Linked DNA regions of Lepisosteus oculatus. The protein of the gene in region 1 purifies or fractionates together with the protein of each later gene. This does not show direct contact. Links are inferred from orthologs where the notes say so. Each region holds a gene or a part of one and is shown on either strand. Other genes may lie near its edges.

Region 1 (10,651 bases):
CGAGCTTAACAGCTGAAGGGTTAACGTGACTTAAATGTCAGCGGCCTTTAAAAAGCTCCATAGGTTGAAGAGAGCCCCGTCCCTAACCCACCCCCCCCGCACCCGCGCTGACAAAGCAGTTCAGTGTCTTTTTGGATGACATGGCACTGTTTGTTGTCTTTCTGACGCGCTGACCTTCCCGGAGCTGGTGAAGAAATCGCGTGAAGGGCAGGGAGTCGCTGGCGGAGCGAGCAAACGTGGGCCGCGGCTGAAAATGAAAAATGAAAATAAATAAAAAAAAATCAGTAACAGAGCCACACCGGTATTATATGTGTATAGAACTGTTTAGTTCGCAAAAAAAGAGAAAATTGTCATGTTGTGGAAGTTTGTGTGTTTTCTTTTATTTGTATGAGAGAGAGAGGTTAAAGAGAAAAAAGTTTTGGTTTACGCCAAACGCGCCCTCTTCTAGGAACAACGGTGGAAAAAAAACACATCGCGATTGGACCGCGGGATAAAAAAAAGTCCCTTCACAGAGTTCACGAAGCTGTTTACCTCAGGGGGTATGGCCAAGTTTTCTTTTCCAAATGACAATATTGTTTTAAAACCCGGCTTAAAATTGTGGCCTGGTAATGATAGGGTTATTATTAATAGTAGGGTTATTATAGGGTTAGAAAATGCTGTAGTTCAGATTTGCTTCACGAGGCTTGTCCTGATGAGTTAGGAGTTTTTGTTCTGATAAAATGAAAGTTGTTGCGGTCTCTGACGACGCTTCCACAGCGCACACTCAAGGAGACCAGAAACTGGACTTTAATTGCTGTTCACTTCCCCCTCTGGTCTCTTCCAGTGTCCTGTCATTGGTGGCAAAACACGGGGATGGTTCTGTCAGATCCGGTCTTTAATCTCCACCGTCGAGCGAGTGTAATTAATGAGCGCTTCCTGTAATTACCCCATAATTATAGAGGAGAGCAGAAAGAAAGCTTCCTCTTTCCTTGGTAGGGACTCTGTAGGTCTCCTGGAGAATTTGATGGGTTGGTTTTTCTGTTCAGTGCAAAGGGGCACCTGCGGGGCCTTTTCGTTTTGGACCTTCCCGAAGCACGAGGCTGAAGGAAAAAAAGCGGCCTACCTATATTGACCCCAGTTTGAGTCACGTGACGTCTATAGCGTGGATTGGAGTTGTCCCCCGTGAGGAAAAAAGCCTTTAGACTTCGTATTTCACAATGAAAGGATTTACAGATCGAACGTACACAAAATAACAAAGCAATTCTCAGGCTGTGACAGGAGGTCACATACTGGGCTGCCAGTTCAACTGAGTTCCCTCCTCCCTCTCCCAGTAGGATTGGGAACTGTTGTGATTCTAGCCGGTGTGGGAACTCTGGGATTAGATTTCTGAATTTAGGTAAAAATGTTTCTCTAATCCCAGAGTATCTGTCCCAGTGCAGTAGGAAGTGCACCTCTGTCTCTATTTCTCCCTGCTGGCAGTGGGAGCACACCCTGTCCTCTCTGGACAGCCAGGTCTGCTTGTATCTCCCAGTTTCTATGGCCGGGCTGTGGTCACTGAGCCTGTCCTCTCTGGGCAGCCAGGTCTGCCTGTGTCCAGTGTGTGTGTCCAGGCTGTGGTCACTGAGCCTGTCCTCTCTGGGCAGCCAGGTCTGCCTGTGTCCAGTGTGTGTGTCCAGGCTGTGGTCACTGAGCCTGTCCTCTCTGGGCAGCCAGGTCTGCCTGTGTCCAGTGTGTGTGTCCAGGCTGTGGTCACTGAGCCTGTCCTCTCTGGGTAGCCAGGTCTGCCTGTGTTGCCCAGTTTCTATGGCCAGGCTGTGGTCACTGAGCCTGTGCTTCGTCAGGGTCTGTTGCTTCTCGCTGTTACTTATGCTGGTCAAATATAGTGTGTATGGTCTATTTAGGATTCTGTAGCATTCCAGTTTATGTTGTGTTTGTATTGCGAGATCCGTCTCTCTGTCTTGTAGTAAAGAAGGCTCATCTAAAGAACGCAGATGACGGGGCGGCTCACTGGGGTTTAGATAAAAGGGAAAAAGACTGCCCTCTGGACTCGTAAATGTGACCTCTCCCCGCTGTCTGCAATAACAGCTGCTGTGTTTCTATGTAACATGGGAACTATGGGTACAAAAGCTCTCACAGAGCCGTGCACCCCGCAGGGAGACGATGTGAACAGAGATGGGACTGGGGGGAAAAAAGACTCTAAAAGTGGCCTGGCTGATTTGTTGCCTTGTTATAAAGAGCCTGCAGGGAGCAGCAGTCTCCGAGCTCCCCTTTTCTATTTCGGTGACTCAAACTCACTGCTCCCCGCCCCGGCTCTCCCTCGATCCGCGGAGCCGTCTCGTCTTGTTATTTCCATGCTGTTGTGTAACAGCAGCCCAGAGACAAAAGCCGTGACTGTCCCTTCTCCTCATCCTCCTCCTCCCCCTTTTCATTTAGTCTTCACTGGCAATATCCTTCTCCATTGCCTCCTTACTCGGTCGGTCTGGGCTTCTGTGTGTTTGCCCCTCACCCAGAGACTCCACCGCGCGGTTGCCATTAGTGACTAAAAACCGAGGAGCATGCTGGGATAGAATGACATAGCAATTTATTGAAAGTTGGTAAATTAACTAGTAAGTTAGTTTGAGTTATTGGAGTTAGTAAGCAGTGGCCCTGTCGCCCCCTCTGTAATGTTTTCGGCTTAGTGTAACGAGCACACAGTGTATGTGAGGTCCCCTTCAGGCGTTCTTTAGAAGCCTGATGGGGCATTTCAGAGTCACAAGCAGGCTGACTTTTGCCATTTTCTGCACATACTAGTTCACCGACCAGAGCTGGTTTTGGAGAATGAGGCCGCTGGACTTTGGGCTGAACGTGGGGTTTGGTAACTGGGGGTCTCTGGGGTCCGTGTGCTGGTCTGGAATGTCTGTCCCTCGGAGAAGTCGTTTCTATGCTGTGTTCTGTTTGGGACGACCATAACACATACTGTGACAGCTAGGTAATAAAATGGGATATTATGTATGGGGACTGTCTTGCCTGGTCTGAGGGTGCACTGGTTGTTTAGGGTGATAAAAAGAAGAGCTGTATCTGCCAGCAGCTGTATCACCCTGCACCTCACCGCTGGCAGCCCACTGAAGCCCATCAGGTGTGGGCCTGGTCAGTACCTGGAGGGGAGACTCCTGGGAAAGCTGAGGCTGCTGCTGGAAGAGGTGTTAGTGGGGCCAGTAGGGGGCGCTCACCCTGTGGTCTGTGTGGGTCCTAATGCCCCAGTATAGTGACAGGGACACTATACTGAAAAAAGGTGCCGTCCTTTGGATGAGATGTAAAACCGAGGTCTTGACTCTCTGTGGTCATTAAAAATGTTTCTGGAGAAGACTAGGGGTGTTACCCCGGAGATCTGGCCAAATTTCCCCCTGGCCTTTACCAATCATGGCCTCCTAATAATCCCCATCTCTGAACTGGCTTCATCACTCTGCTCTCCTCCCCACTGAAAGCTGATATACCGGTGCATCATCTGGTGGTGGAAGAGGGAAGTCCTCATTGCCTGTGAATGTCCAGAGAAGCGCTGTATAAGTGTGAGGAATTATTATGATAACTAAAATCGAGCGATTTTTGTTTTCTCGCAAACGGTTTGTTTTTCCGTATTGGTCAGCTAGTGCTGTTCAACCACTGAATGCAACTGAACGGCAGGAAGACAGGATTATTATTATTATTATTATTATTATTATTATTATTATTATTATTAACCTGTTGTAGGGGGAAGAGGGACCTTTATAATTGTTAGGAATCAGCTAAAAAAAGAAAAAACTATTCCTGCATGTAAGGGACAGCATCAGTGACACGAATCTACTTTGTTTAAATGGCTGCGGCTGCCAGAGACAATCAGCAATAACACGACTGTGTGTGCCCAGATCTGGCCAGCAGACGCAGCAGTCCCTAGTGGAATGCTTTCCAGCGCCGGGGTCGAAGAAGGTCAGAAAATCAGATCATTTTTTGTGCTTGCAGCCAGCCTGAAAAACAATCGAATGTGTGGCTGGAGGTGGGGGCCAAAACAGAGCTCAGAGCTGCAGTGTTGATCAGAATTGCTCTGGACTGCTCAGTCCAGTTACTGCACAGCAAGCCCTCTGGGTTATGAGCAGGACCGGACTGTGGTGCTCGTGGGCCCTCGGCACTTTCACTCTGAGTTGTGCCAGGAGAGGGGTCAACGCCAGTTGAATGACGTCGATGGACAAGATGCACTTGAAACTGTTCTCATGCTAAACCTGGGGATTGCTGGGGCGAGTCGAGAGACCATCACTTCCACACTTCTAGTTTCTCGAACAGCCTCTAGAGAGCGTGTGATTGTAGATATGGAGAACCGAGAGTCGATCGCAAGCGTGTTGTTTCAGCTCGTTTTTCGTGAGTCACTAGTGTTTCACTCCTTAATAGGCCCTAGACACTGTGCCTGCAGTGCCTAATGGGAAATCCGGCACTGGTTATAAGTACTTATTGGACAGGCAATCAGATGTGAATGTCAGGAATGATTTCCATTGAAATGCAGTTCTAATTGTAGTTTCTAGATTCTTATGGATTCTCTTACCTGATCAGCAGTTTCTTCTGTTTTGTACGGTATATACCACCCTTCCCGATGGAGAATTATGTTAAAAAATGCTCGCAAGCAGCTGATGGGTTCATTCTAGTCAAATGAGAACACACTCATATTTGAATATGCTGTAACACCTTCAAGGAATGTGGCTCATTTATAGGTGCAAACTGGAAAGAAATGCCAAATGCAGAGAGACATCCCACCAGCATTTGAACCTACAGCCATTAGGACTAGAACCCAGACAGGCAATCATGGTGCAGCCCGAGTTCTAGATTGTTCTCGCTGCTTTGGATAGGATGAACCAGTCTTTTGGACTGGATCCAGTCACGTGGGTAGTTTAAGATCACTTTATTGGCCCTGTACAATTGTGTACAAACGGGAGAGAGGGAGAGTATGGGGGGCTATTTTAAGCACAGAGTAAAGAACAGTAAGAATCGAAAATAAACCAAGCGGGCATTTTGTGAGAGAGCTAGGCGGAGAGCAGTCTCGTATACCGCATTTGACTGGCACGGAAATAGAAAGTTATTTTACAGCGCAGGCAACGCACGGTAGTAGAGAGCAACTGTTCGCTTGCCTAACCGGTACACAAAGCTGTGGTGACGTGCTTACGCGCAAGTGACTCGGGTGCATCTAAAACATAGGTCCTGCGCGATCATCATCATTTACAGTCAAGAGAACGGGAACACGGTTTTGGATGAAGCCTAGCTGTAAAAGTAACAAACACCCTGAACAAACATCCGCAGCCGGAACGGTTTTCTTTTTCATTTTCAGCGGGGAATTAACCTCTACGCGTTCCTATAAATACCATTGATTAAATATTAAAAACAATGAGACGCATTATATATATATAGAGATGGGATCGTCATTCAGGTAGTTTATGTGGGTGTGTATAATGAAGACATTTTCTACGTGTATCTTATTTGCTAACATTAGAGTTATAACGTTTACAGTTTTAGCTCCGTAAACAAAACCTGCCGTTTGGCATCTTTTAGGAATCTTATAAGTTGACGATTTCTGTGCACGCACATAAAGAGATTAAAAACACCGACAATTAGCCATATTGACGGGGTGTCATTGTCCACTTAGACCCTGCTGGCGTAGTGAATTCATTGTCATTTCTAACAAGAGCGCATCTGACATAGCATTGCCGCGTCTCATCCAGAAAGCTTGAAACCGGTCGCCGCTGTGACTGTCGCCACCCGTTGTGTGCTCTGTGACAAACGTAGGCTGCTTGTGAAAGTGTTATATCACATCCAGTCCGCAGCGCCTGTGCTTTGCTGGGAGAAATAACTGCCCGAGTTTTTCAAGTAAAAGCCAGTGACGGCGGCACGCTATGGAAACTCCTTTTAACTCCGTGCAAATTCTGGGATTTTCCCCTGATTTAGGATTGATAGTAACGATCAGCCAATAAGCGTAAACCTGGGATCGGTCCACTCTATGAGAATCCCAATACATACAGTAATACAAAGATTTCGAAAAGGCAGAACTTGTTATACATGACATTATGAACCTGACGAGCTGCCCGGCCAAACAGAATACAGTACGGCAGCCTAGCTTCCCTCTCACACACAGGCAATGGAAAGTTGCATTGATCGATGGAGGGAATCGACCAATCAGCTTCTGACGCTCGATGGTTCCGCCTCTCCAGGGGACCGTGTTGGGAAGTGATTGACACGACGTGTAGCCAATAAGTGCGCACGCAAGTGGTTGCCATATTGACGCGCTGACGTAAGGGGCTGGCGTTTCGGTCTTGAGCGAGGGGGGAGGTAAACAAGATGGCGACAGCCTGACGGCGGCTGCAAATTTAAGGGGTTCAAAACCTATCCTATTTACACCGACACGGATACACGCCAGGAAAAGTAAATACGTAAATTAACATACATCAGCGAAGCGCTGCATGCCGGATTTTTGGAGGCCGAGGAAGAGATGCCAGCGACGGGACGTCCATAAAGTGATATATTAGGAGTAGCAGTCGTACTACTAATTCGGTCTCTCTGGATTGTACTTGACATCGTATCTGCTGGACTTCAGCTTTGGTGACTAGAAGGAGGGTCTCCAGTCTGCCGGTTCTTTTCCAGAAACATACACATTTAAAAAAAATAAAGGCAGGACAGGCGTCTGGAGATGAAAGAGTTAAGCAGAGGATAAACCGGGCACGGAGTGCCGGGGGGCTGGTGCGTTTTTATTACGCCGAGCAGGTAAGAGACGAGGGTTTTCATTATTAATATAAACAAGTCAAGTGTAGTGTTCAAGCAGAGGGATCCGAGGCCGTGCTGCCTCTACGAAACGAGCGATTAGTATTTTTTGAAGCGGTGAAGTAAAAGAGTGCAGCTTGGCCGTCAGCGTAGGTTCACATCTACTGATCTCGGGTAACGGGCGACGGATTTCTGTTTGTGTTTGGTTTTTTTTTGCTTCAGCCAGCGCGTAAAACTGTAGCATTGCTGCACTGGGTTGGCTAATTTATTTGTTGTTGTTGGTTTTTTGTTTTGTTCAAATAAAGCCAGAATAGGTCGAGAACACTTAATATCTTACGCCTTGGAGCTCTCGCGGTGTCGTTTGTGCTAGCGTCCGTTTACAATCTGTAATGTGCCTCTTGGCTGCAGATGACACGTACAATGCATTGTCGTTGTTTCTATTTTGCTATATCAATGCATGTGCAATGTTATTCTTAACATAGTCTTAAATTAGCTTCGCAAACTGCCTTACGTGTATCATTGATCTGAAATATTTTTCTTGCATTCCAGATATTGGATCTTCGTTTGCTGCAACTGGCTAAGGACTAATTTTAACTCTTTGATAGTAGTGTGCTGGGAATCCTAAGGATATGAAACCAGCGGGGGGATAGGGAGTCAAGTCTTCGGGAAAATTTCCCTTAAAAAAGCAGTACCAAAGAAGATCTCGCTTGTTACAGGTGTGAAGAAGACGGGGAGGGGGGGGGGAGGACACATTTTCTGCCCGTTGGATGACGTCGGTGTCCACGGACTGGGGGCTCCTTGGCTGACGGTGGATTTGCACCCCGATGCCAGCAGGAGCCAAACACCAGGGACTGTCATCGAGTTAGAATTTCCACACTCCTCCACCTCCACCATCACGGGGAAAAAGAAAGCATAAACCGACTACATTTCTCTCCCTGGTTTTGTGAAGCAGCGGGGTGTAATGTGAAGGGGCACCACCAGACTTTTTCCTCTAAAGTGTATGTAAAAGCCCCCCCCCTCACTTCTGCATCCGTGTGTGTATCAGGAACTCCAGTCCGGGCTATGCTGCTTCATAGCTGAACTCTGGCAGAGTCTGCCCCTCCACCCCCAGTCTGGTTCTCCTTGGAATTCCCGAGCTCTTGGAGGTCTTATCCACTGGGTGCTGTAGCTTTCTTGTTCCACACTTCTCGCTTGGAGAAAACGGAGGGATTTCAGGAGTAAGTACCTCTTCCCTTCCTCCAGCACCTCCTCCCCCCTCCCCCCTCCCCGGGCCCACCTCCTCCTCCCCAACTCCGCAACCCCTGAGCTGCAAAGATGAGCATGGACGAACTGCAGCGCCTGTCCCTCGACTACCTGGCGGAGCCCGAGCTCATGGGCATGGACACCTTCATCCACCGCATCGACTCCACGGAGGTCATCTACCAGCCCCGGCGCAAGCGGGCCAAGCTCATCGGCAAGTACCTGATGGGGGACCTGCTGGGCGAGGGCTCCTACGGCAAGGTGAAGGAGATGCTGGACTCGGAGACGCTGTGCCGGCGGGCGGTGAAGATCCTGAAGAAGAAGAAGCTGAGGAGGATCCCCAACGGGGAGGCCAATGTCAAAAAGTAAGTCCCGGCTCCTGGCCCCAGATCCTCATCTTTTGGGCTGGGTCTGAGCCCCCCGACTGCTGCAGGCACCCTCTGTCTGCTTCTAAGAAAAGACCACGGGGCTGTCTTCATTTTGCTGGACCACCCATGGGCCATGGACCATGGACCACCCATGGGTGGTGTGGGTGGGGTATGGGTAGCCAACGTGGATGTCCGGGCGAGGGCAGACCCGTTGAGTGCCGGTGACCTGTGGCCAGTTGTGTCCCTGTGAGTATGTGAGAGTAGGCTATCTGAAGCTGCCAAAAGCCTGGGTGGTCTTGAAAGTGTCACTCTGGTCATGGACTTGTAAGGCTATAATTACAGTCATCCCTCGGCCTAAAGGACTAATAGGGAGGAGTGTATATATAGGAGAACAGGGAAGTCCATTACTGCCGAATATCCCTTTTTTTTTCAGCCTAAAAACATGCTATTTCTGCATATACATAATGTATTTTTCTTATGTATGTGCTCTGGAAGTTTTGACTTATTTAACAAGGGCAGTCAACACAGTAAAAATTGTTTCCATGCCTTTTTCAATCGTGAACGCACAAGCTCTTTATTTCATGTTGTAAATATAGCGTATAAATTTTGCTTAAGCATACGGAACACAAATACCTATTGTAAACAGTTGACCTATCCTTATCCTGTATTCTGGAATTTCAGACCTATGTAGTATTTATTTCTACCTTGTTTTATGTGTGGTATTTCTGATTATGCAGACAGAATTCCCCTGGAGTTGAGCTTGTCTGTTAAACCGAGGGTTGACTGTAATGGGAGAGTAATGCTGTAGTTTCTGTCCAGATAGCATCAGTCCGTTCGAGGGGGTGAAAGTCAAGGGAGGTCTGTTTGACAGGAGTACTTGTCTGGGGCCTCAAGAGCGATTGTGAAAAGACGTGACGCAGTGCATTTGCTTAGAAACCCAACTTAAACGGGTGCAAACTGAACTGCATTTTTTTTCTCCCCCGACTTTCATGTGTTTTGCTTGTGAGCAGCCTTTCTCTGTTTATGGCCATTTAAAACGGCAACACGCACAGACACACGGACGGGCTGAGCTGGCCCTGTTTGGCAGCCACCCCTTCTCCAGGAGGTGTACGAGGGCGCGGTCTGGTCAGGGTGGGTTCTCTGCCGAGTCCGGCAGCGAGTCTTTGCGCGAAAGACCACCCCTCGCCTTACCTACATGTGGGAGAGATGCTGCTTTTATATTGCTACCAAAACCTCCAGAAATGCAAGAGCAGCAAACCTTTATTAAGCAGGATAGGCACCTAAAAATAAACACATTATATATTTTTAGCACAGCTTGGTAGGACGCTGAAAGTGAGGATAAGAGGCGATGTGTGGCAGTTTGGTATTTTTTAGGGGCTGTGGGGGTTCTGGAGGGGAGGGAGGGGCAGGGTGCTTTCCTTTTGGAATGGGATGGAAAGACTGGAAGAGCATGGGGGAGTGTAGGATGAGCCCCAGGGCAGCAGGTCTGGGCAGCGGGTCCGAAGGTGGACAGTGGTGTGAGGGGAGTGATTACCAGTTTGTTGCTGGCACACTTATAGTGGTGTTTTTTTTTTTAAAGAAATGATGCGCGGAGATTGTTGTTCAGGGGAAGGAAACCGTTCCGATCATCCAAATGCAGTTCAGCGACGGTGGTGTGGTGCTATGCAGTTCTACTAGGTCTGCGATGTTAGTCTGCTTTTCCTTTTCTGGGGACTTTGGCTTTCTTTGCACAGGAAGGGTCCCAGAGCCCTTGTGCAGTATTAGCTCTGGAAATGCTGTGCCGAGACAGAGGTGCCTTTTCCTATTTTCTTTTCACCACAGTGGTAATAAATAACCGGTGGGGTAGGGTGGGGGCTCCCATTGGTGTACAACAAAGGATGAAAATGTGGCCCCCTCCCTTATTGCCCTCATCCATGCAAAACGAAACCCTCACGACGCAGGCACTCCTACAGAGCGTTCTCTCTCTCTCTTTTTTTTTTTTTAGTGACATTTCGGAAAATGAAGTTTAAAAGGGCGGATGGGAAGTGAAATGCGTGTGCCTGCTTATCACGCCTGCATTCGCATGTTTCTGTGTCGGGAGCATCCCCTGCTTCCCAGGCGGGGAAAAGTCTTCCCGCGGATTCAGGCACTCCTGCTGCCCTGCCGTGTGGCTCAGGAATAAACGGGGTGAAAGTTGCACCTGCAGAGTAGCAGACAAATGCTGGCACAGGACGTCTGCACCTGCACGCCTGCAGTCTTAAAGTCAGAGTGAGATTGCAGGAGCCACCTGTGTGGACTTTGCTGTTGTTTTTAGTATTATGTGTTTTTAATTGGGG
Region 2 (11,435 bases), on another chromosome or scaffold:
ATGTTTACTTTTCTTCATGTAGCACAAGAAAGTTTCTTGTTCTAAAATGTCTGTAACAAATCTATAATATAAATGACTGCATCTTATTTTTTAAGAAAGATTTAATAATTGTTTACCAACTATGCAAATAAACTGTGTAATAGTGATGCCTCATTCACCAGGCATCACAATTATTTTAGGCTTTAATTTTTCCTTTTGGTGAATGTTGACCTTATATAACAAATATCCCAAAGAATACGAAAACTGTTCAAAACCCAAGTCACTAACTTATGAATGCAGACACATATGCAACAGGAATGAGCCTTTACAGCAAAAAAACTATATCGAAGTGAAATCTCAGAACAGGTGATTAAGCAGGCTGGCTGACTTAATAATTTACGTGCCTGCTGCAGCAGTCATGCCACCAGATAAGAATCATGGGAAAGTACCTCTGAGAGCCTCCATGACTGGCTGAATGGTTTCAGACCACTGATGAGCAGCAATTGCTGTGTATATTCCTGGGAAGTCCCTCTGCCAGATCCGCTGGCCCACACCCCAGATAGCAGCCAGTTCAGGGTTAGCCTGCAAGAGCCAAAATGAAGAAACTTTCACTCTCGTTCAGCTACTCCACTGCCACCAATTTGTCTTTTCGAATGGTTTCTCTCTTGCACATTGTTTCCTCCCGTTAAAACCTTATCGACTACAACACATAGTCGTTACGTACCTAATACTCAGAAACATAAGTTAGATATGCGGAACTGTCCACTCACAGACATATGCCACTGTTGTGGGGTTTGCTATGGGTGTCTTAATGGAGACCATTTAGGGCTGTGGGTTTTCAGGGGACTTGCTCCACAAGTGTAGAACTCCCTCCCTGCCAACCTGAGAAATGTTAACTCTTTTACAGTTTTAAAGACTCGCCTGTTTAGTTGAGTTTTAATTATGTTTGCCTTTTCTCCTTTTCCACATTTTTAATTTGTATATTTATTTCTGTAAAATGTTATTTTGACTTTTTACCCTGTGAGGTGTCCCAAGGACTGTAAATGTACATGGGCACTGAAATAAATCCTTGTAAGACATTCCTTTGAGTTTGTGAATGTATCATGTCACTCTTGACTTATTCTAGAGCAGAAATATATTTTCCATAAAATGTACGTCGGACAACTTTAGCATAACGTCCCTTTATTTAAATACTACATTTTGTATTGTATATCCTGACTTTTTTTTGTGTTTCTTCACATTGTATAGAAAATGTAAATGATATGACATAAACCAAACACCTTTGAATTTCTCAAAAAAAGTATTTCCAATGCCTGTGCTTATTAGTTTATATTTATAGCTTGTATTTTTGCTAACTACATGGGGCACACTGCACTTGTCTACATTACATGTCATGTCCCAGAATCTCAGGCTAAGGACTGTAAACTTAATGTTTCTTCCTAACATATTTAAAAGATAATGACAATTTTAACAAGAAAAGCATATGATGCATAAAGCAAATTGATTTTTCTCACAGGAGTTGCAACAAGCTCAAACTATTTATGCAATATATTTTTTATTTTGACTTGTGAATGTTCAACTGCCTTAAAAAATACAGAACTGTTTACAATTTGCTCTGTATTTCTTTGAAATACATTTTAAAGGCAGGACTCTGTGCTGCATGAAATAATGTCATTAATAGTTGTCCTTGGTTAATATGACTAAAGGAAATAAAAAAAAACACAAAACTCCAACAATATACTATAGTCTATTGTATAAATACACAGTTCTACATCATGGTAAAAACAGAGTATAAAGCCCACTTAAGCTTATACAACAATGCAAAGAGCACCACTAAGATTATACACTTAAAAGCAGTGTATAATAATTAAAACTTTTTCTTCTGTGCGGAATCAACTAAACTGAACTCTACTTCCAACTGGATCGAACAACAATTTGTGCTAAAGCAGGGCTGAACTATTCTCCAAATAAGAACTGTTTAAATGTTCACTAATTTGCCTTCATATACAGTATATACATATACTGTTTGGGACATTTCTCAACAGAATCACTAAGGCACTTCAATAACAACAACAAATTTGGTGTTGTAAAACTAACGAAAAGGAGAGGTAAATACAGAATCTTATGCTGTGCCCTGCTTACTTCTGACAGATAAAGAGAAACATTAACAGAGTGTAGCTTATAAAAAGACAGAAAGTTCTATATGTCCCTGAAGCCCAGGAACAGGTTACTTAAGCTGTTTCCCAACAGCTCTAAATGTCAGCTGTCGATGCCACTGCAGGCCAGAGACACGTGGCAGAGATAATGAAATCCCTCATGATTCAATCATCCCAGTTCAAGAGTGCAGCATTCTGTTATCTCTTATTTTTATCTTTATACTTCAAAGGAAAAAACAATTCAAAGACTATACTTAGCACTAAAATTATAGTTCTTAAAAATGATCGAGAGTTTGGAGATATCTTCTGCAAGAACTATCAATTTTCTTTTTTTGGAAGGGGTGTTAAAAACACAGCAGCTAGATTTTTAATTTCCTCATTTTCTATTCTGTTTCATTCAAAGTAAAATAATTTTAAAAAATTACCTTAAGTATAACAGTACATAACGTTTTCCAAACCAGGGAGTATTAAACATAAGGGCTTAGATATTACAGAATCTGAGGCTCTGTGGGCACATTTCTTTTGCAATCTACACTTCACTGCTGTCAAAATGTTAATGCTTATTGTCTACTTCTAAGCAAACTTGCCTTGAACTAGACTTAGAACTGGTTTCAAAAACAAGAACCATTGATTTCTTTTAAAAAACACCCAAACCATCTTATCTGTTAGATGTGTCTTCTGCTGATGTTAAATATATCTGAGTTTTTAATCACTTTAATACATCACAAATAAAGTTTAGTAAGTACTTACAGATTTGATTGCTTGTGGGATTCTCTTCCAAAGATACCGGGCATTATTCCTAAAAACAGAACACAGACAGACATTCCTCAAATTCCAGAACAATGCAAACCAGTACTTTCCATATCCTTTCCATGTGGTGAGTCCAGACAGACTGGCTTTGATGTCTCTTGAGGGCTTTTTCACACAGGAAAGACGTGGGTGCACAAAAGCTTTGTGACTCCCACAAGAATTAAATAGTTGGGACCAACAGCTTTGATGCTCTGTCCCATTTTTAATTTTTATTTATATACCTATCCTAAGGGATGAACGTGTAGGTCTCGAGAAAGCTAAGCTTACAAGTGCAATGCTTCTGTTGCTTTAGGTAAATCACCAGCTTCACCATGACAGACTTAACCAGTGCCATATGTAAAAAAAACATGTAAAACTATGCTAAAGCCATTTGCTGTTAGTGCTTTCAATGGTTCAGTTTTCTGTGCTGCATGGTGTTTTATCACAAAAACATTAAAGCTGCATTAGATGAGACTAGGTAATTACCTTTGATTAATTGACTGTGCTCTGCTATTACAACTTTAAGACACAGACTATAAACCAGTGTCTGTCTTTGCAGATATTAGTTATGCTTAAAGTTAAATGTTTTTTTGTATATGAAACTCAATTACCTTCATGCAAACAATAAAAACAGTTCTATCTACATATAAACTTGTATGTTTCTAAGTTCCTATGATTTTTCTTTTGATAAGGGGGAAGAAGAAATCTATTACACCTGTAACTATGATTACCAATATTAAAATCTACTCCATATGGAAGAAAATCCTAGCTGTTCTTATCATCTGTCATGGCAAATCAACACAATACAGATTTATCTATTTGTGCCATCACAATTAAGATGTCTGGATGGACTCAGAGGGGAGAGCCCTATATTAGATTATGAAGGGATTCGTAACTTCGAAACTTATTTTTGACTATGAAAAGTTAAGGATCCATAACAGTTGTGAACAAGTAGCCCATGTGCCTACACAATGCACAGTAAAGTAGCCCATCAATGTAATTTACTGAGCCTACAACCTGCTCTGATGACAGTAAATCCTGAGTGGCAGATTCTGAATGACAACATGTACTCTGCTATAACTCACATGTCATTGTGCAGGAGATATAGGGCCAGCAGCTGCCCGTACACTTGAGGAGTCGCAATGCCACCAGGTGCCTTGAAAGAAAACAAAGCACTTTTTAAATTGTAATTATATACAAAATACAGAAAATACATGGCAATAATAAATGTAACTTTTAACAAAAATATTTATTTAAATATTTCAGAATGCTTTGCAAATGTGGAATTTTTACCATAATCATGCAAAAATTCAAATATGCCACCATTTAAAAAAACGAGTTTCACTGGATGCAATTGGAATTGAGAAAAGAAATTCATCCCCACAATGAATTTCAGCATCATATCCAAAAAAGCAGTAATGTATATTCAAGAGATATGATCACTTTTGCTTTCAGTTACTGAATTTGAAAATCCCAGTGATTAAGCTAACGAACAAAACTAGACGATCTTTTATTGTAAGAGATACTTGCATTGTCCTTCACTTTGAGAATACCGCAAACACATTACAGTACCAAGGAAAGTAATGCCTATCAGAACTCAAAGGTATTAATAGAGCACGTAGAAAATCTCCTGCAAGCTAACTGAAAACTATTCAACAACTCTCGTACTGGTAACAATTTCTGTCAGTAAATTCGTCAGTTATCAATACTTATAAAATGAATACCATCAGACATTGCGTACAAACGTTGCTGTTACAACTGTAGCGGTTCTCTAGTTTCGTGGTTACCCCAGTTTCTGCAGGATTAAGCGGGCTGTGGCTATGTGACCCCCCAACCCCAGACTGAAAGCTCTCCTATTCTCGTGGTTTCTCCCCAGCAAATCTGGTGCAGACTTTTACAGCTGTGCACAACTCGTATGAGGCACCTGGCTCAAGGGAGCAGCCTTCTAGTCATAAATAGAGATCTGATCTGCTATGCCCCCCCGACACAGATGGAAACGACAATAAAACACATGCGTGTATACTTGAATAGAACAGGCGACACAGCACCAGCGAACCATTGATTCCAAAAATACTGTTTACATATGAAACATCGGGAAAATATTTCCCTAGTGTGATCACTGCCTTTAAACAACCACCCGAGGTCTAACAACAGCATCCTAGGTAACCGAGTAATTGAGGACTGCAAGCCGGCTGCTTCAGCAACACGTTGTGTTCACTGTCCGGGATGTTACTGAACGGTTGTGGCGTCTCTACACCAGGTCCTGGCTGGCAATGAACACACAACCTTGTTTTTAGGGAATCGGCTATATACCTCCAACTCCTGGGTTTCACACTGCTCCAGAAGTTTGTTGTAATTCTCTCCCATGATCACCGCCACTGGCATTTTTGGAAAACCAACCCAAACAGTAACAGATGAAAACACTTCCCTTTCCGGGGATACAGAGTGCGGCGTATAATATTATTACGGCGCAGAAACTTTCCTAGCGACCTCTAGTGGAGGGGAAAACTACGTGCGTGGTATTTAATAGACTATCGTGTGCAGTAAACTACTGTAGATCTTCCGAAGGAGAACTTTCGTACAGAATTAAATAATGAATCAAATTAAGGTATTTATTATACTTCTGTACATCCTAATATTAAAACCTATATTGCAACAACATTTTAGAATGTATCCGTTTTCTCTGGTCAAGCAAACCCGATGTTTCACAGGAATGTAATGAAATAAGAAACACTAGATGTCACTCCATACAAATATTTCGCTTTAAAAAAGCGGACTGTGGCCTTAAAAAAGAAAGTTAAACGCACTGATTTGTTAAATGTTTTACAGGAGATCATTGATACTTCGCATGATAGTCCACCGTAAAATCTGGTAAGAAAATATAATAATAATAATAATAATAATAATAATAATAATAATAATAATAATAATAATAATAAACTTTATTTTATAAAGCGCCTTTAAATGTGGCTTCTCAAAACGCTTTATGGAATGACAACAACAATAAATAAAAAGAATACACAAGATAAAACACAATTAAAATATATAGAGGAGACCGTGGATGGTGGTACTAAGAAAAGCAGAGGGGTGAAGAATGGAACCAGTTAAGTAAAGGTTTTTTACTTTAAGAAGAGGGTTTTGAATCTGGATTTGAAGGAGTTTAGAGAAGGTGACTCTCTGATATCCTTGGGGAGAGAGTTCCAGAGCTTGGGGGCATAACAGGAGAAGGCCCTGTCACCCATACAATGTAGACAGGCTTGGGGGACAGTAAGGAGGGCAGAATTAGAAGAGCGAAGGTTGCGAGGTGGGGAGTAGGGCGATAATAGTTCGGACAGATACTGAGGTGCCAAGCCATGCAGACCCTTATAGGTGAGCATGAGGATTTCAAAGTCTACACGGAATTTGACCGGAAGCCAGTGCAAGGACTCCAGGATAGGAGTAATGTGATCATTTGCACTAGACCTGGTCACTAAACCCTTTCCTACTTATATTTACATCTTAAATATTTCAATCAAGAGGGAAAGTGTTATATGTGACTAACGTTATTATATTGAAGATATATATTTCATATATTGTAGTTCCAACACGGCAACGTCATGATATTGTAATGTCGTGGGATTTTAAAGTTTCGTTTGACAGACGAAAGAGGTGTAAAGAAATGTATAAGTGCCAATCCACGTTGTTCAGGGAAGCGGAGAGATCAAATAAAACCTCAAATAAAACATGCAAATAAACATCATTGTATTTTGTTATTTACACCCCAGTATATTACCCAGAGTAAATTCATAAATGACCAGTCCGTTTTCCAGCTCTATAACGTCCTGCTTATTGACTGAGGAGTGAAAATGTTATTGAAAACCATAGTCTTGGCTCTCCTGTTCCAGGAGGTGGATCAGTACTCCTTGTTCTGCGGTCGTTATTAGAGCCATGCAGGGTGAGCCGAGTTTTGCTCCACTGAACCACTGCGTTGCAACTTTTTTCCTTATTTAACGTGGTAGCCGGGACACGGAGGTAGGGACTGTTCCGATCTTACCGCTGAGGAAAATCTCTGGTACGGTACAGGGAGTCTCGGAGCCGTTTGTCGTCATTGCAGGCATTTTGTGTTTTATCAGATACAAATAACAATAATTATCCAAAAAAAATTACGAATGTAAAAGGGTCATGTTTATATGTTGGTCTCGTGAATTTAAATGCATCGTAAACAAAAATAAAACGGTAAAAAAATCTCAACTAAATGATCTACACGTAGTTTATTAAATGGACGCCATCCAAAACCATATCAAGATTAAAATTCGTATTACCCTTTGGGAGCATTACTGTGGTGATTTTTCACCTTGCCGCTATTTGTCTTTACAATTAGGAGTAAAAGCCTAAATGACTCTATTTAGAAAGTGTGATAACACAACCGATATACTGCTTTTCCCATCCTGAGTGCTCATAAAAACTCCCAGTCTGGAGCTGTCATAAACTAATAAGAACTGCATGTGGAAGATTGGTATTTACAAAAAATAAATACCTAAGATTGCTTAGCAGTGTTCTTGAATTAATCCAAGAAACATCCATCAACAGAGTCCATAGTGCAACAGTTCACACTTGACCTAAAAAATTCATAACATTACTCAATATATTTTTAACAGGTTGAGAACATGAAAATTGAGGCAAAGTGACTGCCCTTTAGGGCACTTCTATGGTTTCTTTAAAGCTTATTTATATTGATTCTATGTGGTTTATTTTTATCATAAATGGCCAATGACCTTACAAAGCACCATAATAGAGCCCATAAACTAAAATCACCATTTTACGACACATCAGGAATTTAGCTGAAATAGTATCTAGGATTTTCACCTGGGGTATTTTCCAGTAAATACTGGAAATCAATAGATGAGAAGGAAGCAGGTATTAAAATACAAAATGATCATATGTTAAAGTAAGTGATATTGTATTTAATTTTATTCACATATTACATTTATTACGCGAGTTGCAACATAGTAATGACCAGAATTGTTGATACATGTCTTGCTAACATGTCTTTTGTTTTTCATGTGTAGTCATGTTTAAATTGCAAATGATTAGAATAATTTATTAAATTAGAAGGAATTAAATTATATGGGCCAATTGGACCAATAAACAGTTAAATGTTTCTGAGATAATACTTAGATCAGCCTAAGATGCTATCTTCTGTATTAACGCATTTCAGAGTGCAGGTACATGATACTGAGATCTGCAAAGATCTATTAATTTCAGTGAGATGGATTTTGATATTCCAAAAACATTTTAAAACTTGCAAATTGAACTTGTTTTTGCAATGCCTAACTGAATTACTGTAAGTACAGTATGCAGGCAATTGCTTTAGTTAAGAAATTTAAACACTGCACATAAATGCTTATGGAGCAGATTCTAAAAGAGCTCAAGAATTCTAAATAAGTGAGCTAAATAAATGTGACTTTTACTATCTCGTGTAGACATGGTTCCTGTTTAGAAGGGAAAGTTTTCTTTCATTCAAATTACACAGGAAATCCGTAAAAACAAAGCTTAGATATCATGTATTGTGTTCTATTTTTCCTTTGGAGATTGCAGTGTAAAATAACCTCCCACGCTTTGCTTTTAAATGAGATAGTCTGTTTTTATTGCGCATTGTTCTCAGGAAAGAAGGGACAGGATTCATCATTTGAATGTTGATATACCATACTTTGATGAGACACAGAAATAGCCTGTGCTTATACAATACACGAACAAGGATAAAAATAAAGCACAGCAAGGGACACAACAATCCAAAACAAAGTACTTTCACTCCATAAACTATTATGTCTCTTTAGATCCGGAATAAACCTGAAACATGCAATCACTTAGGTACAGTAACTTCCTTGTGTAGACCATTGCCTTTCACTCCCTGCCTCCCACTTCGAATTGCCTAACAAGAATGAAATTACTGGCATCTGACTTTTGGTTTTCTGGAGATTGAATGGTACACTTCAATCTGTGCAGTACCTTGAAATACAGCGATAGGACAGTCTTCACGTGGGTAACAAATTATCTGCTGGGTCCCACAGGCCCCTCTAGTCAGAGGACTCTTATCTCAGGCCGGTCAGACCACTTCATTGAAGGTCAGCTTCCTAGTGCAGCCAGTAAATCCCCTCCTGTTACTGGTCATTCAGTTCATGCTATCAAGCACCGGATGTGTGGTCTTTTTTTACGTAGTGGAAGATTGTTCCAGTACATTAGCAAAATCTTTTTTTTGCTTTTCTACAAGGTCCTGGTTACTCTTGTTGTACAGCCATTGGAACAAAAAAGGAAATGCTGTGGGATGCACCAATGATAACTTCCTGTCTTCTGTCTTTCCCCTCACACATTAATGAAAGCACCACAGTTTTTATTTACTGTATATGCCCCTTCATGCTGGACATTCACAGATTTTTCTATCTGAACTTTCACAAGACCAAAGCTGTTCTGATTGGCTCTCCTGACACCTCAGTTGCAATATGTTCAGAACTCAAAGACTTGGATCTTAATTAAATACTGGAGCATACATACTGTACTGTATCTCTATTCCTGTTGTATGCAAGAGCTCCTATGAATTTCATTCGTATAAAGAGTTTGAGATGTCATAAAAGGTTGTGCATAAAATAAAAACAACAATAATGATAATTATTATTAGTAACAGTATAATACTACAGTTTAATTAATGCAGGAATTTAAAGGAAATATTCTCACCATTACAATCAGTCAAACATAATGTATAAATACCAAAATATATGACACTGCAAATGTCAGAAGGTCAATAGCTGCAAATTTGTGTATTTCTTAATTCTTTTTTGAGTATTAAAGAGTTCTTGGCTAAAACTAACTTACAGTTTAATGTAACTTTTTTTCTTCCCACTCCGGACAAAAAATAAAACTACCACTTGTTAAGGAACACCTCACTGAGCACATTACTGCCCAGTGAAGTTCAGAACAGGCCAAGGTCTTAATAATAATTATAATTGCTTACACTTATATAGTGATTTTCTGGACACTCCACTCAAAGGGCATTACAGGTAATGGGGACCCCCTTCAATACCACCAATGTGCAGCCCCACCTGACAGATACGTGTCTTCACTGCTGTAATGCAATACGTTTGAACCAGAGCCCAGTAACTGTGATTAAGTCATCCAGTGAATCTCAATAATCGTACATTTTCCTGCCAGTACCTTGCAGATATTCTCCCTCATGTGTAGCAAAATAAAGATTTGTGCTGTGATGCCCTTGTAAAACTTGTCATAATGTCAACAGAACATCACGCATAAGAAGTAAAAATGTCAATAGTAAAAAAAATGGTCAATCATCAGGATGTTAGCTCTGTGGCTAAGGATCTGCACCTGTGGCTGGAAGGTTGCCGGTTTGTATCCTGTGGCCAGAGAGGAATCCTACTCTGTTGGGCCCATGAGCAAGGCCCTTAACCCCAACTGCTCCAGGGGTGCCGTATAAATGGCTGACCCTGTGCTCTGACCCCAGGCTTCTCTCTCCCCGTCTGTGTGCCTGTGTCTCTCATGGAGAGCTAGCTTGGGTATGCGAAAAAACAAATTCCTAATGCAAGAAATTGTATATGGCCAATAAAGTGATCTTATCTTAAAGCTCATTGGCTGAATCTTTTCTTAATGCAATTTACACCTGATAAGAAAATGTAATTAGGTAATGAAAACCTTATCTGTAAGAAATTTGACAAGAAAGTTCCAGAAAGAAACAGTTTCAAGAAATGGCTGGATGACATCTTTGAATCAATTAACTACTACCTATCTCAATGCTCAGCTTGATAGCCTCCTCTCGTATGTTACAGTTCTAGTGGTTCTATTAAGGATCCCTGTAGTGCTGCACCCCAATCATAGAATTCACCCCCTATTTGTACTCTATTTTGTCTGTGCATTAATCCATACTTCCTACTACCTGAAATTTGTGAATAAATCTTTTATGATTAACATCAGTCTAAATATCCCGTGCTCTGTTGTTGCCTTTTGAAAGACCTCTAACAAGTTAATTAACCAAGACCTATTTTTTCTAAAACCTATTTGTTATCTATATACAGTACATGATGCTCTAGTTCTCAAAATTGTTTCTATAACCTTGCATGTTATAGAGGTACTACCCCTTGCCTTTTGGGACTGTTGGAATTTTGTTAATAGCTTGTGAATACTTTCCATCAGGCCCTGGAGATTTATTAATTCCAAGTAGTTCAAGAACCTTTAGAATCTGCATGTTCTATGCTAATGCTATGTTGTATTACTGCAGCTTTGTCCTCTGTCTGCCTGAGCAGCGTGCAACAGGCAGAATTTATAGAGCAAGACTGTCTTCAGTATAGATGTGGCACACGTCCATTGTAGGACCAATTGATTAATATGAATCAATCAAATTGATTAATATTGATCAATCTAACCTACTGTAGCTAGTCTATGTTTTAGAAGTAAGAGAAAATGCAAGGTGCACCAGTCCAGAATCAGACCCTGGGACAAAGAGCTTTGAGGCAGGGGTTCTAACAG
Region 3 (11,195 bases), on another chromosome or scaffold:
GTATTTTACTGTATAGGATACAGTCAGAAGCTACATCATCCTGCATCTCTCAACTGCCAACCCACTGAAGCTAAGCAGGTGTGAGTCTAGCCAGTATCTGGGAGACCTCATGGGTCTGATTTCTGCTGGAAAAGGTTTTAGGGGGGACCAGTAGGGGGCACTCATCCTGTAGCCTGTGTGGGTCCTAATGCCCCAGTATAGTAATAGGGACACAACACTGCAAAAAAGGCACCATCCTATTTACAAGATGAGATGTAAATCTCTCTGTGGTCATTAAAAATCCCTAGTGTCCTGGCCAAATTTCAACCTGGCCTTTACCAATCATGGCCTCCTAATAATCCCCATCTGTGAATTTGCTTCAGCACTCTGTTCTCCTCCCCACTGATAGCTGATGTGAGCACACTGGTGCAATATGGCTGCCATCATCCAGGTGGAGCTACACATTGGTAGTGGTGATGGAGGGGAGTCCCAATTACCTGTAAAGTGCTGTGAGTGGAGTCCAGAAAAGCTATAGAAGTGTAAGAAATTATTATTTCTGTAACAAGTGGTAAATAGCCTTTACTTTTTTTTAAAGCAAATGTGGGATAATATGACATGACCACACATGATCATTCCAAAAAAGAATCTCCACTTCTTTTCCCAAACATTGTCTCTTTGTTCCGCTCTTCCTTCTTCTGAGTAGTACAGAACTCTGCTGGGGAGGAAATAACCACAGGCTGCCAAAAGCTCTTTGCCGGACCTAGGAATCCTGAACAGACAGTGCAATCTCATCAACTAAAGCTAATGCCATTTGTTACCAATGACTAAAGTGTTGACAAGTTTTGCTCAGTTACAGTAGGTGTAAATAAGTCAAAATGCAGACTTCAAATCAGCAGTAGACATAGAAAAAAACCCCAATATGTACGTTTGATTTGAGCCGGGACTAAAGCAGCTTACAGCAGTTCGCCCACCTGATGTCTAAATGCTAGATAAAGCAGTTTAATCCCCTTGTCTGGATGAAAGCTGGGACATTTGCTAATCGCAAATGCAAACTGTCAGAAGTTAATCACAGGTGCACAGTTCGCAAATCACCACATCATACTAATGGTGAGCCTGCTAAAGACGATGAGTTTAATACTGGAACACTCTGCACTACATTAGTACAAAAGAGAGTAAAAGAAAAATATATATTTTTCAAATACTACGATTACTGGTTAAAATTCAGGTCATCCCACATTGATCGAAAAAAGTAACATCAAGTCATAGAACTTCGATCTCCATTTGCATATTTCACTTGTTTGGCATTTATCACAACTATTGTGTAATGATTCCACTGAATTAATATCCCAATGTTCTGTGTTATTATTTTAACTCAGAGTTTCCCTTGACTTTAATGGCTGTAATTCATCCTTATCTTCAGAATACATCATGAATGTTAACCTCGCAACTACTTCTTATAGAAACTGGTCTCCATCAGAGCAGAGCAGTTACAAGCTCCACTTACTGACTGAAATTACCAGAATTGCAATCTTTTATCAAGATAACTAACATAAATCAGCATGTCATTGGAAATTATCTCCCCCCTGCTGTATAGTGTAGGGGAAACAATGTAGACCACTTTTAAAAGCCCTGAATCTTTTTATCCTAAAACCATGTCATACATTAAAAGCAATCCACAAATCAGAACTACATATCCCTGTGTGGTATTGGAAACCAATCTTTACTTTTGTCTGGGTATCTGACGTTTTGTTGAAGTGAAGTACGGTATGTTAACAGAATTTAATTTGCTAAAGCAGTGAAGACCATACTAAGGAACTTTTTGGTCGGGGTTGCCCCATTGCAGACAGAAGCGAAGGTTTTACATGAAGAGAGAATTAAGACTCCCAAGGAAAGCAAACACCTACAGTAGGAGTCTTTAAAGGGACTTCTGTACCACCTGTTGCCCTAATGCAGTAATACGCACTCCTAGTTTATGAAGGGTGGTCAGTCAAGAGTTTTTATAATCAACGCAGTCATTAAGTCTTCAACTACAGTAATTACATTCATTTAGGCCATCGAGGTTAGTTTTGGTCTCAGAAACGTTACTCAACATTTACTCAACAGGACCGGGGGTGTGTGTATGAGTAACGTTCCGGATTGGTGCACCATTCTCGGTTACTCGGGCTGGAGAGAAGTGGGATTTACAGTAGATATGCATCAGGTCTAGCAGCAACTTGGCTTTTAAGGGAAGTTGGAGTTGTTGAAATATCACTCAAAAGGAAATAGCCGATAAGTCGTTTTAGTGTGAGAAAGGGAGTAAAAAAGCCGTGAAATAATAGTTAAGTGCACTCGGCAAGCACATTTCTCTTAACTGATACAACTGTACGGACAGGCGAAGGCAAGGCTTTCCAAGTGCTTGTCTGTTAGATTCCCATAGGGCAATGTGAGGAATATGTATCTTTTACCGTCTGTTTAACTTACACAGAACACAATATTATTAATTACGACAACAATGATGATGTCCCGGATCCACAGCGCTTTGGAAAGCATGTTTATCGATACCAGTGTGTGGTGTTATGCAGGTATTGCACAAGCTGTCAGTTAGGAATTCTATTGATTTTGCAATTTACAACTGATGTAGTTGATGAGTGCTCCCAACACCAACACTGTGACCAAACTACAGTATCCAAATGCCGATTGCGAGACGAGATTTGCCATCGTTTGACAATTTTGAAAAAAACATCTTTCCGATTCCCACCCCCAATCTATACAAAAATGCCCCCTGCAGAGCCACCCGCATGCACCGTGTGTAACGTCCGGTTTTCACTTGCAAGTCGGGGGACCTCCACAACTTTCCGCCCGGGACGAGCTTCGGGACTGACGGGACCGGATGCTTTTCTTACAAACCCAACTTACGCTCCCCTCCGGCTCGTTACACACACGCACACGCTACGTAGTAGACGCGGCGCACCCGGACACCGTCTCCGCGGTGAGCAAACCACCAGGTTCCCCGGCCAACCACGACAACTCTCACAGCAACAGCGGCGGCGGCAGTCAGCACAACATCCCCACCTTCCAGACATTTAAAGATTGCCACACTCCCTTGGAAAACAGTTTAATTCATGACAGTTAAAAAGAGAGAGAGAGAGCGAACGAGCGAGCGAGCGAGCTTGACTTCCGAGTTCAATTGCGATTTGGGCACAACTCAAAAATAAAAAAAAAAGTCCAAGACGTTTTGATCATTTAATATTACGTCAGGAGTCAATGCATTCGCTCAGCTTCGCTAAGCAATCACACGCTTTTCAAAGGGGGTGCGGGCAACATGCAAATACGTTACAAAACAGTGTTAGGAGAAAGCTCTCTTTTTACAGTACTGTATCACGTATTATTTTGATTAAATGCGGATAGTGGGTGCATTTTTCACTACCCAGGCAGTTTAGCGCATTAAGTTTGATCAGCGGCACCTGAAGGTCGCCAGAAACCACGCAAGTAAAAAAACAAGACGTAATATTTGAAATCGTTTACTCACAGAATGGTTAACTCCCCACATCAGGACGCTCAGCAGAGGGTCGCTGGCACGGAACAGCTTGACTTTCTGAGCAACAAAATGTTTCTTCTTCGTCTTCGTTTTACTCGCAATTGATGAGGCAATGCCACTGACTGTAGCCATGTTTTACACTTAATTTTGCCTAATAATGACAGCTCACGTTCAAATTCAGGGTCGGTCTCTTTAACAACAGAACAGACCGAGAAAAAAGTATGTACACTTATGCTGCGCCTCCTGTCTTGGTTCTTCTTAAGATGTCAAGAGCCTATTCTCCTTTTATTTTTAATGCAGCTGCAGAATAAGCTCCTTACCATTTAGTTATCGGCATATCTAACCTAAAACAGCAGCTCCCCTTAAAAATAACCCTCCCCACCTTGCTTCACTCCAACATTCCCCTGTGAATACTTTATTGACGAGCGCGTTTGATACCCAGAATTAAAATACGTCTTCAAATAAAACAAAAAAAAACTGAGATTTCATGCAACATACACAGCTCAATAAACCAATGCTCTCAGTCCTCTGTGCTCTCCCCACTGCGTACCAGTCCTGCACTAAAGCAAACACTTTCCCTCTTCCTTTTGCACTGCTCGTTTCCTCCAAAAACCGCTGCTGGCAAATGATGGACGTCCTAAAATAAAAATATCCGCATTGCAACCGTGTTACAATTTTGAATTTGTAGGTTTAAAATAAGCAGCCTCTGTCCCAGCGCTTCCGGCCGGGTGCTGCTCTGGTGACTGACAGCCCAGGGAGGCGGAGGCCGGCGCTACAGCATGCAGACCGATTATTAATGCGGTTGACGTTTTCTAGCGTAGAAAACAGCGGCGGTAGGTAAGAAAATAAAAACGTTGTAACGGTATTTTGCTGCCTTTACCGTTTCGTTCTCAACCATAACTATAAAACTAGGAATAAAGTTTAAAAAAAGCCAACCGCACTCAAGTATACTTTTCGTCTTTAATTGTCATTTTCCATTTATTCACGCCTCTACTTGGGCAGACGTGACTTAGATAATTATTTAATTACTTTATAGGTATTTCATAAGTGTACACAAGACGAATGCCGAACTTTTTTTTATTCTAGTTATCATGTATTATTTATATATGGGACGTGAACATTCTTTAAGACTCGAAATTAAACAATTTAATTACGCAGGGGGGCACTTAAAACAAAAAAATATTTTGTATTACAAAGTGATACAAAAGCGTAGGTGTTCAATGATGAACTGTCTGATTTCACCAATCACAAACCAAAGCTACAAAGCTTAAGGGAGAAGACGGTAGACAGCTGACTCACGAAAGATGCATACAGAACTAATTCTTCATCACAAAACCTGTGGCTGATTATACTGTACGAATCCGATGTCTAATATAAATACAAAGGGTCAGACTAGTATTTTTAAACGGTGTTAGGAATGTAAACAGCTGCTTTATTTGTATTTGCAACAACAACAACAGCAACATTTGTTCCACATTTACAGTACCTGTTTGCAGTGGTTTCTGTTGTTCTACTTTTGCTACAGTTTTGTGTCCAAGAGTACTGTATGAGAGCAACACTGTAGTGTTTATGGTTAGTACTGACACTTAACCTAATAATAATTTACATCTGTATTTAATTAAATTAATACTAAACGAAAGTGCTGAAGTTGGATTACATTTATATTGTTGTCTGATTACCGAGATGAAACAATCTAAAATGATATTAACAATTAAATTTGCACAAGAACAACGGAATGTGTTCTAAATACAAATGGTGATTTGACTGGAAGTGCAGTTAATAGTGTTTTGTTTTGTTTGAAATATTTGATTGATATTTGTCATTAAGAATAGTTACACATGAGGGATTGTATATCTTCTTTAAATTGTGTGCAGTAACTTATCATTGTTGATAAACATCCCCCTAACTCACACAGAGAGAAAAGACAGCAATCGTGATTAATCATCATTGGGCCCAATGTATGGAAACAAACTTACGATTCACTGTAGAAATCTGTGGTTTCAATAGTTTAATAGTTAGTCCATGTGACAAACACAAAATAATAAAATATATCTTTCAATGGTTAAAGACCCAAATACCTTTACATAAGAGGATGGCATTATGATAAGATATTTAGTCTTTTTAAACTTCCAGAATCCCTGCAAATAAAACTGCCTCTTACTTTATAAGAAGTACGAAATGGTACTTTAAATATCATTACATTATGGTAGCCTGTTTAGTTATTCTTGACTTTCTTTAAAAGTCATTAGTAAAACAATGAAATCTAAAATGCATTAAACATGTATTCATGTTTCAATCAAACTGCATACAATCTACAGTAGTAGCCATTTAGTAATTCCTTTTAAAGTGTCACTGAAAATACCACAACACCAGTTAGGCACAGTGGATTTGAAGAAGGCAACACAAATCAACAGTCAACTAAAGTATCGCAATGTAGAAAACAAGAAGTGTGGCTTTATACACAAATAGATTGAGGGAAAGCACAGAATAGCATTCCTCAGTTGTTGAATTTGCGAGTTCTGAAATAAGGTGAAAAGTAAAATGGTGAAGTAACCAGTTAAAGAAAGAGGAAATGATCTGCCTGACCAATTGCTGTGGTTAGGCTACACTCTATAACTGAGCAACACTGCTACGGGGCTTCTCTAACCAGTGCCCATTTCATGGTAAGAGGTTGCAAAGAAGGACAAGGCTTTCAAAAGAAATAAAGAGAAGGGTTTATTTTTCCATGTTCGCAGTTTTTTATATTTGTGACTCCTTCAGGCAGTATTTAATGTAAAATTGTCTTTATTTCAGTATAGTGAATACTAGCTTTGATAACTATTGATGGTACAGGACTCCAAAAATACATCTTTATTTACAAAAAAAAAAATCTAGGGAAAGGTTGTCAATGATCTGTTGAAGTATCTTGTGTGTTTAATCCCCCAATTGTGTATCATATATACAGTACATATAATAAAACATGACTGACACATGATGGTCTCTAACCTTTCAACTGAAGTATTTGAATAAGATCACTGTCAAAGGGCAGCAGGGTGCTGGGTAGCAGCCACACAAATATAGGTATAGTTTACACTTTGGTCTAGTTTAAGACAAATTAATTAATTTAACCAAAGACCTGATTCAGACCTAAACTCAAATCTCTTATCACAATTTGTCATCATTCTATATATTTTATATGCTGCCCTCCCTCAGTAATGAACATTCTACCATTTTCCCTTTGAAGTGGTGACAACACTACTTTTCCTCTCAGACCTTTGACTCAGACATTGCTAAAGATTGCTTGCAGCTCTCCATCGGAGACAAACCAACCTTTAAAGGTTAAAAATGCTGACCTGGTGACACTGTGTAGGGGTAGTGGACTAGGGCACTGTCGACTCTAGACAGGAATGGACTGTCTGGATGGAAGAGTCAAAGGTGGCCACAGTGAGAAATGTTTTGTGCAGCAAAACCAAACATTGCCTTCAAATAAGATAACCTCATCCCAGCCATCAAGCGTGGCCTCAGGACCCAGCCATCCCAGCCATCTCAGTGCCTCAGGACCGAGAGGGCTTGCCATCGTTGATGGAATTACATTCTGAAGAAGAAGCCGAATCTAACACAACGTATGGAAATATCTTGGAACACTGGTTTAGTCATTATTGAGCCACTTTCTAACTGCTTTATCCAATTCAGCGCCGTGGAGGCGCCAGAGCCTATCCCGGCAAGCAACAGGCACAAGATGGGATACACCCTGGATGGGACACCAGTCCATCGCAGGGGGCACACAGACACAAGCATACACTCACACCAGGGCCAATTTTCCTAGAAGCCAATTAACCTACTGTACCAGTACAGTGTCTTTAGACTGTGGGAGGAAACCCATGTAAGCATGGGAAGAACATACAAACTCCATGCAGACAGCACCCCGGGTCCAGAATTGAACCCAGGGCCCCAGCGCTATGAGGCAGCAATACTAACCACTATATTACCCTGCCATCACATTATTGAACATGACCATTTATTTAACATACTACGTTTTACCTGGTTTTAAATTGTTGGAGAGCAATAACAAAAATTCTTCTACTTTTTAATAAGTTTAAAAAAAACTACAATACACAAGAAGAGAAAAGTTACTCTGAAACATTTCATAAGGTGTAGATTTCACCCTTTATTTTTTATATACTTAAATTTTTGCCTAGTTTGAACATGGTACTGATAAAAGAGGGACATGATGATTAGTTTATATCTTTAAATCCTAACCGATGCTACTGTATATCTCGGTGCATTCAGCCTTGAGAGAGAGAAATGCAGAGTGGAAGAGATCTCGCACTGATGTTGTCTGTAAGAATCCATTTCCTGTATGCTCTTTCTGAAACTGAGCAATACAAACACTCCTATACTATGTCATCAATTTGCAAATGTTTACATATCCCATGCCTCCACTGTAACAAAGATGCAAAAATAGGAGGTACAGTACATAATTCTGTCACTGTTATATGAAAATCATGCACAGGTGCCACAAGTAACATATAACTGCTCCAGGTCTTATAGGGAAGCAACTCTAAAAAGTAAATACTGAAGGAAAGCCTGTTCTGCTTGTTCATCTCTCACCCTGAAGACAGTCTTGACACCCAAGGACTGTCCTTTAATAAGAACATCCATGTAAGACAACAAGCGAAACCTTAGCATAAACTCTGCCTGCAGCACAGACTAAGAAAGACGTTCAATGACTATCAGGCTATATGACTGAGAAGTTTGTTTTTATTTGTATGAAAAGCACAAAATTAATTAAAAGTTATTAAATTAATGGACAATGTGGTAAATGAATATAGTAAAAACACCTAAAAGGTGGTATAATCCAATACAACAGCTAATATACATAGTAGAAACTATATGCTTATTATGGGGGCATTTACTATAAAACAGACTATTTATCAATGCATACTACAGTACATCATAAAAGGACATGCATCACAGAATGCACAGTTTTGTCATACTCTGGTACACAGGTCTACTAGTACTAGTACAGTTTTAAAATGCATATCAATAATTTATTAAATCTCTGTGTATGTACAGGCACTAAAGCTCTCTTAAGTAGTTACAACGAACGTTGTACAGCAAGTGTATGTACTCTACGAGCGTGAACATTCTCTTCAGTAGTTACAGTACAACAAGTGTAGTATGAGTGATATAACCTACAGGTAAACACATTCAGGAATCTGGTTTTGTACATATGTCTACTGAAATTTTCACAGTACCTTTGAAAAATAGTGCTGTGGGTAAATTTGGTGTGATATACTGGTGGACAATGGAAATACAAAAGTCTACGTTTTCCACCAGTACTTCATTGGACACATACAGTATAAGATTATTTACAATTAACATCGTGAGCCAGCCCAGAAGTGATGATTATCCAGTAGTACAATGGTACACTCATAAGGTCTTTCCATGTCCAGATTTTTATCATGATCAGAGTCCAGTAGAGCATCTGTGAGACTTATGTGCCAATTCCATCGACAGGAGACTGCTACTGGTCCACTATCCCACTGCTGGTCCATCCCATAACTGTCTACGCAGAGGGTGATTGGATACATGCCTCAAACCTGGATTGTGTGGATTGCAAATGACTAAATTCACCATGATTTCTCTTTACCAGTGTGCCATGCATCATATTGAAGATTATAATGATTCTCTTGACTGCATTTTGGTTCTACTTTTCTATGTATTTTTTTAGCTGTTAAATATAGAGATATAATCGACTAGGTGTGAGTGTTTAATTTCTTTTGTGCATCAGCTGACATTCATCTCTTATTTTTAATTGTAAAGCTTGTTTCTAGGTACTATGAATCACAACACTATCTCTTAAAGCTTAATTACAACTAGTTGTGAATGAGAATGTACAGTAGATACAGATTTACAATACATTTTTTTACTTTTAAATGCTCATAACTGGTTTCATTCCATGTATATCAGATGAAGAATAAATCACAAAAAAAATGCGTTTAATATCAGTACCATGGGCTGGTGGAATAGTACATTTCATTATCACTGTGGCTGTTTTCTGAATCTTCCTTCAAATATCAATTGGCAAATCTTACAGCAGGTGCTGTAAACCATTGATGGTTTTTAATTACAATTTTCGAAGACAAAGATAGACCATCCTGACTCCAGGTTTTTGAACAGGACTCAATAGTGGCTAAGTGTTGAATGTTTGACAATCTCTCTTTGTCCTAGGAACCACACCTGTAGTCCTAGATAGATGAGCTATAAGGTTCATTTACAGAGGACAGGTCTTGAAAGCGCTAACTTTTGTTGTACTTCTTAGCTACAAAACAGATGAAAAGAGATTTTATCACTTCTCTTCTCTTCCCCTTACTTGGAGATGCTCTCCTTGCTTTGAACAGTTCCCTAGAAAACTGCTGCATTTACTCACAGTAAGGACATCTGCCCACCTCCAGTTCTCAGTTCCCAGTTCTACTCCCTCTTGAAAACTGAGACTTGAAGAGTAATATATGGTGCACAGGAATCCACTTAGTGTCAGGGAATTTAACCCAAAATACTGAAACAGCAGATGCCCTGAACCTTATAGGAAGGCTACCAAGGTGCGTACATTACAGTCATTTCTTTATTCTTGAGGATTTCCGAAATGCCAGCTTGAAGCTTTATTCAAACAAGAAACAAGGGTGTTTGGCCTATCTTTAGGTACTCAGGCTCTCCACACTCGGTAGTGTAACAACAAATAGCTGTAAAGACATAGTCTAATAAGTAAACATATCTTTCTTGCAAATGGCAGGATTTAATCTTCGAAGATTCAAAGGTATTTCAGAAAAAGTTCAAGTCCAAAAAACCAACTGAGTGCCATTTAAAGAAACCTAAACAAAATTATTATTATTATTATTATTATTATTATTATTATTATTATTATTATTATTATTATTAGTCAGGCGTAGAAGGAAGTTAATAATATGTGTCACATTTGTTGATTTGTTGAGTATGCTGAGAACGTTTCCTAGCAACCAATGACAACAAAGAATCCGGTCACCACGATCCATTTCCGCAGAACCAGAAAGGTAAAGAAAGTACGGCACATCTTTTACTGGTTAACATCACAAGTTTTGATTTCCTTATATCCTTACAAAACATGCTTAACATTTTCAGAGCCGAAATGCGTTGTATTGTACCGTACGCGAAAGGAAAACGTGGAATTATCTTTTTACGCTACGTGTGGACGTGCAGTGCAAATCTGATATCTAAATACTTACACTCGAAAAAATGGATTGCCTAGTTGCCTAGTGAGCGATTAACTAGCTAAGCTTTAGACAAAAGCGAAAATAATATTTATTGCAGGAGATGAAAGGGAGAAACAGTAACGGCGTGATCTTTGATTGATTTTTTTATGTCGATGTTTCTTTTCCTTTGAATGTGGTAGTGAGCTTTACTACTGTATGAAACAAACTGTTGATCCCAGCACAAACACGAAGAAAAAAATGTTTCAATTCCTGAAAACATTGCTAATTACTGTTTTTTGTTGTTGTTGCCGTAAAATATAGCCACTGTTTAAATATTTAAAGTCCTGGTTTTGGTCAAGGCACTGAGCGCATTTAAAAACCTTATTGTGTACGTCTTGATTTCACTTGTGAAGTCGAAATATACTGTACTGTAAGCAGGAATTTCCGAGGAATTGTGAATAGCATGTCACCTACAGTAAGTGGTTAAATGT

The links.
Region 2: the proteins of stk11 (region 1) and cops8 purify together in Homo sapiens (affinity purification with mass spectrometry; 3 studies listed by BioGRID and IntAct, with this or other methods). This does not show direct contact. The link is inferred for Lepisosteus oculatus from reciprocal best matches to the Homo sapiens genes STK11 and COPS8.
Region 3: the proteins of stk11 (region 1) and pip4k2aa purify together in Homo sapiens (affinity purification with mass spectrometry; 3 studies listed by BioGRID and IntAct, counting the BioPlex papers as one, with this or other methods). This does not show direct contact. The link is inferred for Lepisosteus oculatus from reciprocal best matches to the Homo sapiens genes STK11 and PIP4K2A.

What each region holds. Positions count from the first base shown.
Region 1 is NC_090724.1:7,564,981-7,575,631, reverse strand, and holds the start of stk11 (serine/threonine-protein kinase STK11), read left to right. Parts: upstream 1-6,265; 5' UTR 6,266-6,732; intron 6,733-7,278; 5' UTR 7,279-8,043; coding exon 8,044-8,333; intron 8,334-10,651. UniProt on the Homo sapiens protein: Tumor suppressor serine/threonine-protein kinase that controls the activity of AMP-activated protein kinase (AMPK) family members, thereby playing a role in various processes such as cell metabolism, cell polarity, apoptosis and DNA damage response.
Region 2 is NC_090707.1:9,846,540-9,857,974, reverse strand, and holds the start of cops8 (COP9 signalosome complex subunit 8), read right to left. Parts: upstream 5,358-11,435; 5' UTR 5,310-5,357; coding exon 5,238-5,309; intron 4,081-5,237; coding exon 4,010-4,080; intron 2,935-4,009; coding exon 2,886-2,934; intron 1,059-2,885; exon of another isoform or gene 562-1,058; coding exon 429-561; exon of another isoform or gene 1-428. UniProt on the Homo sapiens protein: Component of the COP9 signalosome complex (CSN), a complex involved in various cellular and developmental processes.
Region 3 is NC_090701.1:17,339,009-17,350,203, reverse strand, and holds the start of pip4k2aa (phosphatidylinositol 5-phosphate 4-kinase type-2 alpha), read right to left. Parts: upstream 4,267-11,195; 5' UTR 3,629-4,266; coding exon 3,488-3,628; intron 1-3,487. Other genes in the region: armc3 (armadillo repeat-containing protein 3), read left to right, coding at 11,192-11,193. UniProt on the Homo sapiens protein: Catalyzes the phosphorylation of phosphatidylinositol 5-phosphate (PtdIns5P) on the fourth hydroxyl of the myo-inositol ring, to form phosphatidylinositol 4,5-bisphosphate (PtdIns(4,5)P2). Has both ATP- and GTP-dependent kinase activities.